Linked DNA regions of Saccharomyces cerevisiae S288C. The protein of the gene in region 1 interacts with the protein of each later gene in a biochemical or structural test. Each region holds a gene or a part of one and is shown in the gene's direction. Other genes may lie near its edges.

Evidence for each region.
Region 2: the proteins of SLD2 (region 1) and MCM2 form a complex in vitro, tested with the Saccharomyces cerevisiae proteins (3 studies listed by BioGRID).
Region 3: the proteins of SLD2 (region 1) and DPB11 form a complex in vitro, tested with the Saccharomyces cerevisiae proteins (4 studies listed by BioGRID).

The regions. Positions count from the first base shown.
Region 1 is NC_001143.9:231,928-237,000, forward strand, and holds SLD2 (Sld2p), read left to right. Parts: upstream 1-2,498; coding exon 2,499-3,860; downstream 3,861-5,073. Other genes in the region: transcription factor HAP4, read left to right, coding at 300-1,964; YKL107W (putative short-chain dehydrogenase/reductase), read left to right, coding at 4,214-5,073. UniProt on the Saccharomyces cerevisiae protein: Has a role in the initiation of DNA replication. Required at S-phase checkpoint. Also required for the proper activation of RAD53 in response to DNA damage and replication blocks.
Region 2 is NC_001134.8:174,420-179,069, reverse strand, and holds MCM2 (MCM DNA helicase complex subunit MCM2), read left to right. Parts: upstream 1-1,543; coding exon 1,544-4,150; downstream 4,151-4,650. Other genes in the region: ATP-dependent Lon protease PIM1, read left to right, coding at 1-1,196; NCL1 (tRNA (cytosine-C5-)-methyltransferase), read right to left, coding at 4,482-4,650. UniProt on the Saccharomyces cerevisiae protein: Acts as a component of the MCM2-7 complex (MCM complex) which is the putative replicative helicase essential for 'once per cell cycle' DNA replication initiation and elongation in eukaryotic cells.
Region 3 is NC_001142.9:262,257-266,775, reverse strand, and holds DPB11 (protein kinase activating protein DPB11), read left to right. Parts: upstream 1-1,724; coding exon 1,725-4,019; downstream 4,020-4,519. Other genes in the region: SIP4 (Sip4p), read right to left, coding at 1-850; GWT1 (glucosaminyl-phosphotidylinositol O-acyltransferase), read left to right, coding at 4,224-4,519. UniProt on the Saccharomyces cerevisiae protein: Has a role in the initiation of DNA replication. Required at S-phase checkpoint. Required for the association of PSF1 with origins. Also required for the proper activation of RAD53 in response to DNA damage and replication blocks.

The DNA.
Region 1 (5,073 bases):
TTACCTTTATTAATTCCTTCACCTCTCTAAACCCCAGTTTTATATCGTATATGCTATCTACAGGTCCACTTTACACTTAATAATATAAAAATACTACTATAAAGGAACCAGAAAAATAAAAAAGGGTCATTATTTATTTGAGCAGATCATTATCAAACGCATAGGAAGAGAAAAAACACAGTTTTATTTTTTTTCCACACATATTTATTGGTCTCCTAGTACATCAAAGAGCATTTTAATGGGTTGCTGATTTGTTTTACCTACATTTTCTAGTACAAAAAAAAAACAAAAAAAGAATCATGACCGCAAAGACTTTTCTACTACAGGCCTCCGCTAGTCGCCCTCGTAGTAACCATTTTAAAAATGAGCATAATAATATTCCATTGGCGCCTGTACCGATCGCCCCAAATACCAACCATCATAACAATAGTTCGCTGGAATTCGAAAACGATGGCAGTAAAAAGAAGAAGAAGTCTAGCTTGGTGGTTAGAACTTCAAAACATTGGGTTTTGCCCCCAAGACCAAGACCTGGTAGAAGATCATCTTCTCACAACACTCTACCTGCCAACAACACCAATAATATTTTAAATGTTGGCCCTAACAGCAGGAACAGTAGTAATAATAATAATAATAATAACATCATTTCGAATAGGAAACAAGCTTCCAAAGAAAAGAGGAAAATACCAAGACATATCCAGACAATCGATGAAAAGCTAATAAACGACTCGAATTACCTCGCATTTTTGAAGTTCGATGACTTGGAAAATGAAAAGTTTCATTCTTCTGCCTCCTCCATTTCATCTCCATCTTATTCATCTCCATCTTTTTCAAGTTATAGAAATAGAAAAAAATCAGAATTCATGGACGATGAAAGCTGCACCGATGTGGAAACCATTGCTGCTCACAACAGTCTGCTAACAAAAAACCATCATATAGATTCTTCTTCAAATGTTCACGCACCACCCACGAAAAAATCAAAGTTGAACGACTTTGATTTATTGTCCTTATCTTCCACATCTTCATCGGCCACTCCGGTCCCACAGTTGACAAAAGATTTGAACATGAACCTAAATTTTCATAAGATCCCTCATAAGGCTTCATTCCCTGATTCTCCAGCAGATTTCTCTCCAGCAGATTCAGTCTCGTTGATTAGAAACCACTCCTTGCCTACTAATTTGCAAGTTAAGGACAAAATTGAGGATTTGAACGAGATTAAATTCTTTAACGATTTCGAGAAACTTGAGTTTTTCAATAAGTATGCCAAAGTCAACACGAATAACGACGTTAACGAAAATAATGATCTCTGGAATTCTTACTTACAGTCTATGGACGATACAACAGGTAAGAACAGTGGCAATTACCAACAAGTGGACAATGACGATAATATGTCTTTATTGAATCTGCCAATTTTGGAGGAAACCGTATCTTCAGGGCAAGATGATAAGGTTGAGCCAGATGAAGAAGACATTTGGAATTATTTACCAAGTTCAAGTTCACAACAAGAAGATTCATCACGTGCTTTGAAAAAAAATACTAATTCTGAGAAGGCGAACATCCAAGCAAAGAACGATGAAACCTATCTGTTTCTTCAGGATCAGGATGAAAGCGCTGATTCGCATCACCATGACGAGTTAGGTTCAGAAATCACTTTGGCTGACAATAAGTTTTCTTATTTGCCCCCAACTCTAGAAGAGTTGATGGAAGAGCAGGACTGTAACAATGGCAGATCTTTTAAAAATTTCATGTTTTCCAACGATACCGGTATTGACGGTAGTGCCGGTACTGATGACGACTACACCAAAGTTCTGAAATCCAAAAAAATTTCTACGTCGAAGTCGAACGCTAACCTTTATGACTTAAACGATAACAACAATGATGCAACTGCCACCAATGAACTTGATCAAAGCAGTTTCATCGACGACCTTGACGAAGATGTCGATTTTTTAAAGGTACAAGTATTTTGAAATAGGCATGTTGCAATAAAACGAAAACAACTAAAAATCACGAAAACAAAATGATATTATACAATAAAAAATTCTTATTATGGGTAATGATAGTATTCTTCGCCTGCTTAGGCGTCCTTTTCCTTCAACAACAAAAATTCCAAAAAAAAAAAGTAAAAAAACAAAACTTTGATTGTTTTTTAATGATGTTAATGATTTTTTTTTTCTTTCTTTATCATAAAAAAAAAGTTAAAATGAAAAACAAATATGGGTCTGGAAGGCCATTATTTTTTTTTTATTTATATACCGTTTCTGGTACTTAGTTATTTATTCTCATACATACACTATATTCAAATTACCTAAGAGCATTTTCACATATCCGTTTACTTTCATTTTTTTTTTTTTTGCTTCCTTTTTACATATCTTCCGTATATCACATCACGTTTACGCGTATGGTGAAACACGTCAAGAGAAAAATGATAAAATCAAATTTTGATTTACATCAGGCTCCACAGGACAGGGAAATCTATCTAGTGAGGCGATAACTGTAGTTCGATGTACTCATTTGAACTGGACAAATTGAAAATTGAGCTGAAAACATGGGAGCATGATTTCATTGATAAAAATAAAAGGGAACCCACAAGGGATGACATCAAGAGCCTGCGGACTGTTCGGCAGATGTATAAACAATATTCCACACTGAAGAAGAAACAATCTTTGCAACGACAAAAAGTTGACACTCAAGAGTCGGTTGAACTCCCGGCACATAAAAAAGACCACGACGAAGTCGTAGAGATAGGCCCTACTCCCCAAGTTTACGGTAAGGCGATTAGTATCTTTGACATGAATTTGTCGCCTATAAAGCCTATATACATGACATTCACAAATAATATTGATGTTAACAATGATAACTCCAAGACAATTTCTAATGAATCTTCTCCACGAAAAACTATTCTCCTAAAATCGTCGCCTGCAGATCGTACGTTAGTGGCGGAACCAATATCCAGTGTGAAACGCCAATTAAACTTTCAAATGCTAAACGCTTCTTCTACACGTACTCCGACTTCATCACCATGCAAGAATCGCAATGGGAAGTTGGTAGAAATCAAGAAATGTAGTCCAACTATTAATCCTCCACTAGAATCTGGCAAACCATCGGGGTATTATGGACCTAATTCCCCGCTAAAATTGGATGAAGAAAACATTCACCTAAACATCTCACTTAATTCAAGCACTAAACGCCGGCTTCAAATAGCATATCCATCTTTACAGAAGACTCCCTCAAAGGATCAAGCGGATATTTCAACTTCATTTAGTCCGTCTCCACTCATTAGAAGACCACTGACGAAATCCCTGATAGAATTGGCCAGGGAACATACTGAAATTGTAAAAGAATTTGGTGTCTTACAGGAAGAAGATATTGAAGAGGAAGAGGAAGGAGAAGAAGGCGAGAATGGTTACGATGAGAAAAACCACGAAGACGACTTTGGGCTAGAAGATGAACTAATTAGACCAAAAGTTGTGAAGGACATATTTCAAGAGGATGATGATAATGATGATAGCCAAGCAAGGGAAGATACCTTCATAAGAAAGAGACCCAAAAGAAGAAAGGTTATCAGAAGATTACGAGACAATGATCCAGAAACCGAGACCGCAGGTTTTGAGAGAGATGTCCATAAGGAGCTGGTGAAACTCAAAAGAAGGAAAGTGGCAGAATTTTTGGGATCCACCTCACAAATCTCTGATACTGAATTTGAACATGATCCGGAGGCAAGCAGCGGCGTTGTAAGCTCAGAGCAAAAGCCTACGGCTAAGCGAAAGGGTAGAAAGAAGTATAATCTAGTGAGCAATAACTTCAGAAGACTAAAACTGCCAAAGAAAAACCGATTCTCTAATGGACGATGGGGAAGAAGGTGAGCGTGATGGCGTAAATAATACAAACATTTGTAATTTATAGAAACCTATTAAGTATTCAGTTAGATTCCTTCAGCTGCATGACGTATAGTTTATATGGACATCATACGTATTTTTATCAATATAGAGACTAGCATGTTTTTACACTTTTTATTTTTGTTGTTCAATTAGGGGCCTCGTCCATATATGTATATATATTACATAATCTGCAATCATCAATTAGGGGAGGAATAATCGGCAGAGGTATAAATACAAAATTTAAAACAATTCAAGTGAATGAAAAGGTGAACCAACAAACAGAATATTACCACGTATCAAGGAAAAACTAATAATAGTATATTGGCGCATTTAGCAGGATGTTCTGGAAAAAGGATCCCACCGTCAGTTGGGAAAGAAAAAATATCAATGACATTGATTTTAGTCGTTTTAATGTGGCCATAATTGGTGGCACAGGTGGACTTGGACGTGCAATAAGTAGAGAGCTGGCCCAAAGAAATGCCAGGGTTACTGTTGTCGGGCAAACTTTTAGGGACGAGGACCTAAAAGATAAAATTAACTTTGTCAAGGCTGATTTAAGTTTAGTGTCAGAATGCAAGCGTATATCTCATAGTGATGAAATTCCCTACGAGGAGTTAACACATCTGATTTTCACTACGGGTATTTTTGCATCACGCCAGAGACAAGCTACAAGTGAGGGTTTGGAAAAAGACATGGCAGTGAGCTATTTGAGTAGATACATTATCTTCCATGATGTGGCGAAGCGATTAGGAATTAGTAGGACAAAAAAAGACGATTTGCCAAAAGTTTTCATAGCAGGGTTTCCAGGAAATGGTCAGGTGGGAGACCCAGATGACTTGAATTCTGATGAAAAGAAGTATAGTGCCTACGCTACACATATGAACACTGTGGCAGCCAATGAAAGTCTGGTCATAGACGCTAAAGACAGATACACGAATATAGATACTTTCGGTTTGAACCCTGGGCTGATCAAAACGAACATTCGTAATAATCTTCTTGGCAGTGACACCTACCTCAGCCGCATTACAGAATGGATAATCAGCTGGACCTGTCAAAGCGCAGAGACGTATGCGAAAACAATATGCACCCTGATTGCGAGCCCCGCTATCGAATCACGCAGTGGTACAATGTTCAGCAACAAAGGCGATGCTATTTTACCTTCGCCTGGTTTGACCAAAGATGTTGTTGAGAAGTTTAT
Region 2 (4,650 bases), on another chromosome or scaffold:
TTCCTATTGACTTATCAAAAGTGCTTTTCGTTTGCACTGCTAACTCTTTGGAAACTATTCCAAGACCTTTACTGGATCGTATGGAAGTCATTGAGTTGACAGGATATGTTGCTGAAGACAAGGTTAAGATTGCCGAGCAGTATTTAGTTCCAAGTGCCAAGAAAAGCGCTGGTCTAGAAAACTCTCATGTTGATATGACAGAAGATGCAATAACAGCGTTAATGAAGTACTACTGTAGAGAAAGTGGTGTAAGGAATTTGAAAAAACACATCGAGAAAATATACCGTAAAGCAGCCCTACAAGTGGTAAAGAAGTTGAGTATTGAAGATTCCCCAACGTCATCAGCCGACAGCAAGCCTAAAGAAAGCGTTTCTTCCGAAGAAAAGGCGGAAAATAACGCCAAAAGCTCATCGGAGAAGACTAAGGACAATAATTCGGAAAAGACAAGCGATGACATTGAAGCCTTAAAGACCTCTGAAAAGATCAATGTTTCCATATCCCAGAAAAACCTAAAAGATTACGTTGGGCCTCCAGTCTACACTACAGACCGGTTATACGAAACAACTCCACCAGGGGTAGTTATGGGGTTGGCGTGGACTAATATGGGAGGTTGCTCACTTTATGTAGAATCTGTCCTTGAACAACCTTTACACAACTGCAAGCATCCAACATTTGAAAGGACCGGGCAACTGGGAGATGTTATGAAGGAATCATCAAGGCTTGCTTATTCATTCGCCAAGATGTATTTAGCACAAAAATTCCCTGAGAACAGATTTTTTGAAAAGGCGTCTATCCACTTGCATTGTCCTGAAGGTGCTACCCCTAAAGATGGTCCATCTGCAGGTGTCACTATGGCCACTTCCTTCCTTTCCCTAGCATTGAATAAGTCGATTGACCCAACGGTTGCGATGACCGGTGAATTGACACTTACCGGTAAAGTTTTACGTATCGGTGGGTTGAGAGAAAAAGCTGTGGCCGCTAAAAGATCTGGTGCCAAGACTATTATTTTCCCTAAAGATAACTTAAATGATTGGGAGGAACTTCCAGACAATGTAAAGGAAGGGTTGGAACCTTTAGCTGCTGATTGGTATAATGATATATTCCAAAAATTATTCAAGGATGTGAATACGAAAGAAGGTAATTCAGTATGGAAGGCTGAATTTGAGATTTTGGATGCTAAAAAGGAAAAGGACTAACTTTTCATCTAAATGGATTAAATACCTGTTTAAACATTCTGTAAATATTTAAACATAAACATCAATTTTATTACACAATACTAAATTCTTTCTTTTCTTCGTGAAGTATGTATGTGGGAAACCCAAGATGGCGGAATCGCGTGTAATATTATTTATCATATGCCTTTTTTAGGAAATCTAATTACTTACCGAAGAAAATAGGACAACGAAAAATTTCGAGAAACGAAACCAGAAAGTAAATGGTGAATATCCTATAATCTACACATTTTGGTACAGTTTACTTAATAATACTCCACACACCTCTTTGCCTCTTTTCTAAGAAGTATAACACAACTACAATATAAGTGATGTCTGATAATAGAAGACGTAGACGTGAGGAAGATGATTCGGACTCAGAAAATGAGCTACCGCCATCCTCACCTCAGCAACATTTTAGAGGGGGGATGAACCCAGTTTCATCACCTATTGGTTCTCCAGATATGATTAACCCTGAAGGTGACGATAATGAAGTTGACGATGTACCAGATATTGATGAAGTTGAAGAACAAATGAACGAAGTAGATTTGATGGACGATAATATGTATGAGGATTATGCGGCTGATCATAATAGAGATAGATATGATCCAGATCAAGTTGACGACAGGGAACAACAAGAACTATCTTTAAGCGAACGTCGCCGCATTGATGCTCAACTAAATGAAAGAGATAGGCTATTGAGAAATGTTGCCTACATAGATGACGAGGACGAAGAACAAGAAGGTGCAGCGCAACTTGATGAAATGGGCCTTCCTGTGCAAAGACGAAGAAGGAGAAGGCAGTATGAGGACTTAGAGAATAGTGATGACGATCTATTGAGTGACATGGACATTGACCCATTAAGAGAAGAACTTACTTTAGAATCTCTGAGTAACGTTAAGGCTAACAGTTACTCGGAATGGATAACACAACCTAATGTCTCAAGAACTATTGCCAGAGAGTTAAAATCATTCCTGCTGGAATATACAGATGAAACGGGTCGTTCTGTATATGGTGCACGTATTAGAACATTAGGTGAAATGAATTCTGAATCTTTGGAGGTTAATTATAGACACTTAGCGGAGTCCAAAGCCATCCTGGCACTATTTTTAGCTAAATGTCCAGAAGAAATGTTGAAAATATTCGATCTCGTGGCTATGGAGGCAACAGAATTGCATTACCCAGATTATGCCCGTATTCACTCCGAAATTCACGTAAGAATCTCTGATTTTCCAACAATATACAGTTTACGTGAATTGCGTGAGTCTAATTTGTCCTCTCTAGTACGCGTCACTGGGGTGGTGACAAGAAGAACAGGAGTCTTCCCTCAATTAAAATATGTCAAATTCAATTGTTTGAAATGTGGCTCCATTTTGGGCCCATTTTTTCAAGATTCTAATGAAGAAATTAGAATCTCATTCTGTACAAACTGCAAATCAAAAGGTCCCTTTAGAGTCAATGGAGAAAAAACTGTGTACCGAAATTATCAAAGGGTTACGCTCCAGGAAGCTCCCGGAACCGTTCCTCCAGGCCGTCTACCAAGACATAGAGAAGTCATTTTGTTGGCGGATTTGGTAGATGTATCCAAGCCAGGTGAAGAGGTAGAAGTTACCGGCATCTACAAAAATAACTACGATGGTAACTTGAATGCAAAGAACGGATTCCCCGTTTTTGCAACAATTATCGAGGCAAATTCTATAAAAAGAAGAGAGGGCAATACAGCTAACGAAGGCGAAGAAGGGTTGGATGTTTTCAGTTGGACTGAAGAAGAAGAACGTGAATTTAGAAAGATTTCTAGGGATCGTGGTATAATTGATAAAATTATATCATCGATGGCACCGTCTATCTATGGTCATAGAGATATTAAAACTGCAGTCGCGTGCTCATTATTTGGAGGTGTTCCAAAAAACGTCAATGGAAAACATTCTATTCGTGGTGATATCAATGTGTTATTATTAGGTGATCCAGGTACTGCCAAATCTCAAATCTTAAAATACGTCGAGAAAACAGCGCATAGAGCGGTCTTTGCAACTGGTCAGGGTGCTTCGGCTGTCGGTCTGACAGCATCCGTCAGAAAAGATCCTATTACTAAAGAATGGACCTTAGAAGGGGGGGCGCTAGTATTGGCTGATAAGGGTGTTTGTTTAATTGATGAATTCGATAAGATGAACGATCAGGATCGTACATCTATTCATGAGGCTATGGAACAGCAAAGTATTTCCATTTCCAAGGCCGGTATTGTTACTACATTACAAGCGCGCTGCTCAATTATTGCTGCGGCAAATCCTAATGGTGGTAGATATAATTCAACCTTGCCTTTAGCTCAGAATGTTAGTTTGACCGAGCCTATTCTGTCTAGATTTGATATTTTATGTGTTGTCAGAGACCTTGTTGATGAAGAGGCAGACGAAAGATTGGCCACATTTGTTGTCGATTCTCATGTAAGATCTCATCCAGAAAACGATGAAGATCGAGAAGGCGAAGAGCTTAAAAATAATGGCGAATCGGCGATAGAACAAGGAGAAGATGAAATAAATGAGCAGCTTAATGCAAGGCAAAGAAGACTTCAAAGACAAAGGAAGAAGGAGGAAGAGATCTCGCCTATTCCACAGGAATTATTGATGAAATATATTCACTATGCGAGGACAAAAATATACCCTAAATTGCATCAGATGGATATGGATAAGGTTAGCAGGGTATATGCGGATTTGAGAAGAGAAAGTATTTCTACAGGTTCGTTTCCAATCACAGTTCGTCATTTAGAATCTATTCTAAGAATTGCAGAATCTTTTGCTAAAATGAGATTATCTGAATTTGTGTCTTCTTATGATTTGGATAGAGCTATCAAAGTTGTAGTTGATTCCTTTGTTGATGCCCAAAAAGTCAGTGTTCGCCGCCAACTCCGCAGGTCTTTCGCAATTTATACCTTGGGTCACTAAAACTTTGTTATTCCTACGAATATCTGGATATGAAGATAAAAAATTCTCTGTCTCAATCCATGTATTGGCAATCCTATTTTCAATATACAAGTTTCCTTTATTTTTTGTATAATTTTTATACACTGTATCTTTAATTTCAATTCAACTAAATACTCAAGATCTAGTCAAAAGTGCATTATTTACTATCCAAAAAAAAAAAAAAAAATGAAGTAAAAAAGAAGTAACAAGACCGAATAAAAAAGGCTCATTACTGAAGTATTATATTCTTATTTTTGCCTTTTAATAATATACATTTACTTTACAGTGGAGGGGATAAGAAACATGATAACTATCAATTAGCAGCGCTAGGAGCTTCAGTAGAGGTTCCGGTAGTAGTTTCTGCGGGAGATTCAGTCGTTTCTTTTTCTTTTTCTTTTTCTTCAGCGCTTGGAGTAGCCTTGGCATTCGCATCAATACCAAAGATCCTATATAATAGCTCATGAGTATCTTCTTTACAAACC
Region 3 (4,519 bases), on another chromosome or scaffold:
AGTCTAATTTGCTGTTTGTTGTCAGAGAAACAATAAGCTTCGTGACTTTAAAAAGCTTGAAATCATCAAAACAAGACCAAGTAAATTGAATAATATAAAGTAACGCCAGTAGAGTTATGGGTTCACCTGTCATTGCGGTTGAATTAATCTTGTCTAATAGCAAATTTTTCCATAAATTTGTAGGGTATAATAGAAGTAGCAAAGAATTTTGCCTTTTAAAAAAATCTTTAATAATGACAGACAACAAATTTTTCAAAAACTGAAGGTTATAATCATATTTAAGTAAAAGAAAATTTGGGAGATGATTAAAGTCACCATTCAGGTTCAAAAAATTTGTTAACAGTTGCAGTTGTAGATCAATATTATTTCGATCGTCTGTAAAAACTACTGCTTTTTGAGTAGGAAAAGTATTAGTTAGAATATTCCATGTCAAATGTCCCAAAAACCTTTGATTTTCAGACTGAGTGTTGTAATTATCAAAACAATAAAATGTATCATTAATGAACGGCAAATTAGAATTTGCATTGGCGCTGGAACTCGCATTCATATTTGTCAAACGGACGACCTCTTTTTCTAGTAGTTCTGTATACCCCTTTGGAAGACCTCTCCTCGACAGTTTATCCGAGGTTTTGCAAGGGAAGTCAATTTTCGCACAGTTTGAACAGTTCGGTTTTAAACCGTCACACTTGATTTTTTTCAGTCTGCATCTATCGCAAGCATGCGCCTTTCTGACAGAGAAATCAGTGATTGCGTTAGAGGAGCTTTGACCGGTTGGTACTATCAGGACTTTATTGCTGCAGGAATCTGTATCATCGAGGGAATAAGACCTGCCATATTTCCTCTTGGCCATCGTCTATTCAGAGTAGCGAGAAGAAAAAAAGAAGCAAAAAAAAAAAAAAAAAACGAGCAAAAGAAATCGAGCAAAGGAGAATGAGCAAAGGATAAACGGAAAACAATGGTAAAGAGGATTAGCCGCTGAACTAGATTGTAAATTGAAGCGGAAAAGAAAACAAAGGAGAGGAAATCGGAGAGGCAGAAAGCTTTCTGCCTTATATACTTTTTTTTTTGCCGCCGAGTTCTGAGATCACGCCCTTAAATTTAGCCGCCAAAACACCGGTCGAACGGCGAAAATGGATCGGAGTCTTGATTGCACCCACACCTCGCATTTTGTGCACTAACATAAAATATGACGAAGTGAGAGTCATGACACACAGAATAACTTAAAAATACTTGAGGAAAAAGTTCTCATATTATGAGGTCATAATAACTACATCGTTATTGTTGCGATATAACTTCAATGTTTTCTGCCTGCAAAAGAATCCTTCCTTTTCCTTCTTTAATTGAAGAGTCCATGTAACCTTGTTTCGTTACTTATATTTATTCACCTTTCTACTTTAGTCACATAACGTAATCTGGGCATAATCATTGAGGTATCATTATTAGCTTGAACTCGTGGTTCCTATTGTCGCCAGGTTTCTTTCAACGCATTTGCTCTTTCCGCTTCGCATACGGCGGTGATCAAATGCAAAACTTACCCTCATCAGTATAAGAGAAGAAAAACTGCATGGACTATTCGCGTATTGCCTGGTAAAGCTATATAGTACTATTGGTAATGTTTGTACTGTTTTATGTACATGATGAATAAGAAGAGACAAATTTTACGTGATATATAAGTCTTCTATTTCTAGTATGGCAGGTATTTTATCAGTAGCATTAATATTACTATGAAGCCCTTTCAAGGAATAACATTTTGTCCGACTGCAATAAATAATGAAATCTTAGCTAAAAAAATATCAAAGAAAATTATTAAGTTAGGAGGTATATTTTCTAAAGATTTGACCAGACAAGTTAATGTCCTTGTTGTTGGGTCCACCACCAATACAAACAAATTTAAATTTGCGGTGAAGCATAGATTCGATATCATATTTATTGACATTCAAGCCATTGATGACATTTATCAGCTCTGGCTGTCTGGAGAAAATATATTGCCGGACTCTAATACGGCAACAATGACAGGATCCACCTATGAGATGCTGAAGATACTTTACCGGCGATTTTCGTTTAAATATTTGCATAACTTCAATATCTTCATTGGCAGAATAACCGACACTAACATAACTTCCATCGATTCATTGGTTAGGAGTATTAAAAAGTTAGGGTGTTCTAGTTATAACTATCAAAACTTTGTAATCAAAGATACCTCTTCACACAATGATGACGATGATCAAGGTCAGAATGGGCAGATATCCATTTTTGTTACGGATACTTTACTAGGAGCAAGAGTTAACGCTGCTATTGAACAAAATATACCTATTGTACATTTCAAATGGATTCTCGATTGCCAAAAAAGAAGCGCACTGTTACCGTACGATCCCTATTATCTTTTACCAAATATTAAAGACCTGCCCTATGATTCAATCGGATCAAACTCTTGCGATTGCTGGGATAAAATAAACACCACCTTTCCAACCAATATCGATGCCCAATCCTCTCTGCAGCGGCAGCAATCCTCCAGTACCCTGACTCCTTCGCTCCCGAAAACATCATCCCTCTTGAATAAATTTAAACCAAAGGGTGAAAAAATATGGGACAAGGCAATGTCTCTACAGCAGCATAGTAAGACAAATTTTTCAGTACTAGGGCAGTCACCATTATCGATAAATAACAAACAAGAAGATTTAAGTGATAATAGTACTTTGATTTTCAAAAATTGTGCGTTTATCATTCATCATATTTTTCCTGGCAATCACCGTTCAATACTAACCAAAATTGTTGTTCAAAATGGGGGTAAAATTGAGACGTCTTACTTGAGCGGCATTTACGATCATTCTTATTACATCATTCCAAGTAATAAAGCTCTTGACTCCTTCAATGATTTACCTGAGATTATAGATGATAATGATGGTATAGTTACAGAATTTTTCATTGAACGCTGCTTGTATTATCAAAAATTACTACACCCAATAGATTTATGGTCAAAACCCTTCCTCAGCACAATAGAGTTTCAAGTTTCGTCTTCTTCAAAGTTATTGCATCATGAATTTTCTTCTTCCCCTTTTCTGAATGTTACTATCACTGGATTCTCTGGCGTAGAGCTGTTACATCTGACTAAAGTATTAAATCTTCTAAAACCAATGGGCATCAATTATGTAGAATACCTCAATAAATCCACTGACATTCTGCTAATCAACTTAGCAGCTTTACCCAGTATCCCGAAAACCCATCCGTTATGGTCGAATGAATTTAGCGATCTTTTTACTCAGTTTTGCATTAATAACAATAATGATGATCCTGGTGATAATAACAGAAAAGATTTTCAAAATAATTCAATCTTGAGAAATTCGATGAAAAGGAAAATTGAATATATCAAGAAATTCCACTCCATACCGGTAGTTACTCCAGCATTTATTTTTAAATTATTGTCCGCTGCATCTGGAGAAAATAATGAAATCTTTTTAAACAATATCAAGTGGTGTATTATCTGCCCAAGAGGACACAAGGACGATTTTAAATGTAAGATAAAAAAACCATACTATACCAGCATTAGTTCAGAAAAAAAGTACCAAAACAATGATCCAAAAATCGACAAAACTATTCTTTTGAAAAGAAACAATTCCTCATTATCGGAGCACTCTATGAAAGATACCAAAAACGAATTATTGCAGAAAATTAGAGAAACTGATTCTGGAAGAAAAAAGCGTAGTGTCTCATCGAGTATCATGGATGTTTCTTCAGAGAGACAAATGCCGGATACGAAAAGGATCAAGTTGGAGTCACTGCCAAAAAATTTCGTTCCTAAACAAATTAAACGAACCACGAGTTGGGGCACAATAATGTCAGAAAATGTGCCTACAGAGCAGCCGACTGCAATTTCTAATCCAGAAGAGATCCCAAGAACTGAGGAAGTTTCACATACTCAAGTTACCTATGGCTCCATTCAAGATAAGAAACGTACTGCCTCTTTAGAAAAACCTATGAGACGACAGACAAGAAATCAGACAAAGGAATTAGATTCTTGAAATGTAGTCCGTAATTTTATAAGATATTCATTTACATACGCCATCTACAGCATTATTCAAATCTACTCATCTATATGTATTACCGTTTTGTATGATAATACTTTCCATGACATGCTCGCGTGAAAAAACAGCATGAGAAAAAGAGGATCGCAATAAGAAGACACGTAAATATCTAAATAAATGGCAACAGTACATCAGAAGAATATGTCGACTTTAAAACAGAGAAAAGAGGACTTTGTGACAGGGCTCAATGGCGGTTCTATAACAGAAATTAACGCAGTGACATCAATTGCTTTGGTAACTTACATATCATGGAACTTATTGAAAAATTCCAACCTTATGCCTCCTGGCATTTCCAGCGTGCAATACATAATTGATTTTGCATTGAACTGGGTTGCTTTGCTTCTATCTATTACTATTTATGCTAGTGAACCATACCTTCTAAACACGCTAATACTGTTACCTTGTTTGCTCGCATTCATATATGGAAAATTTACTAG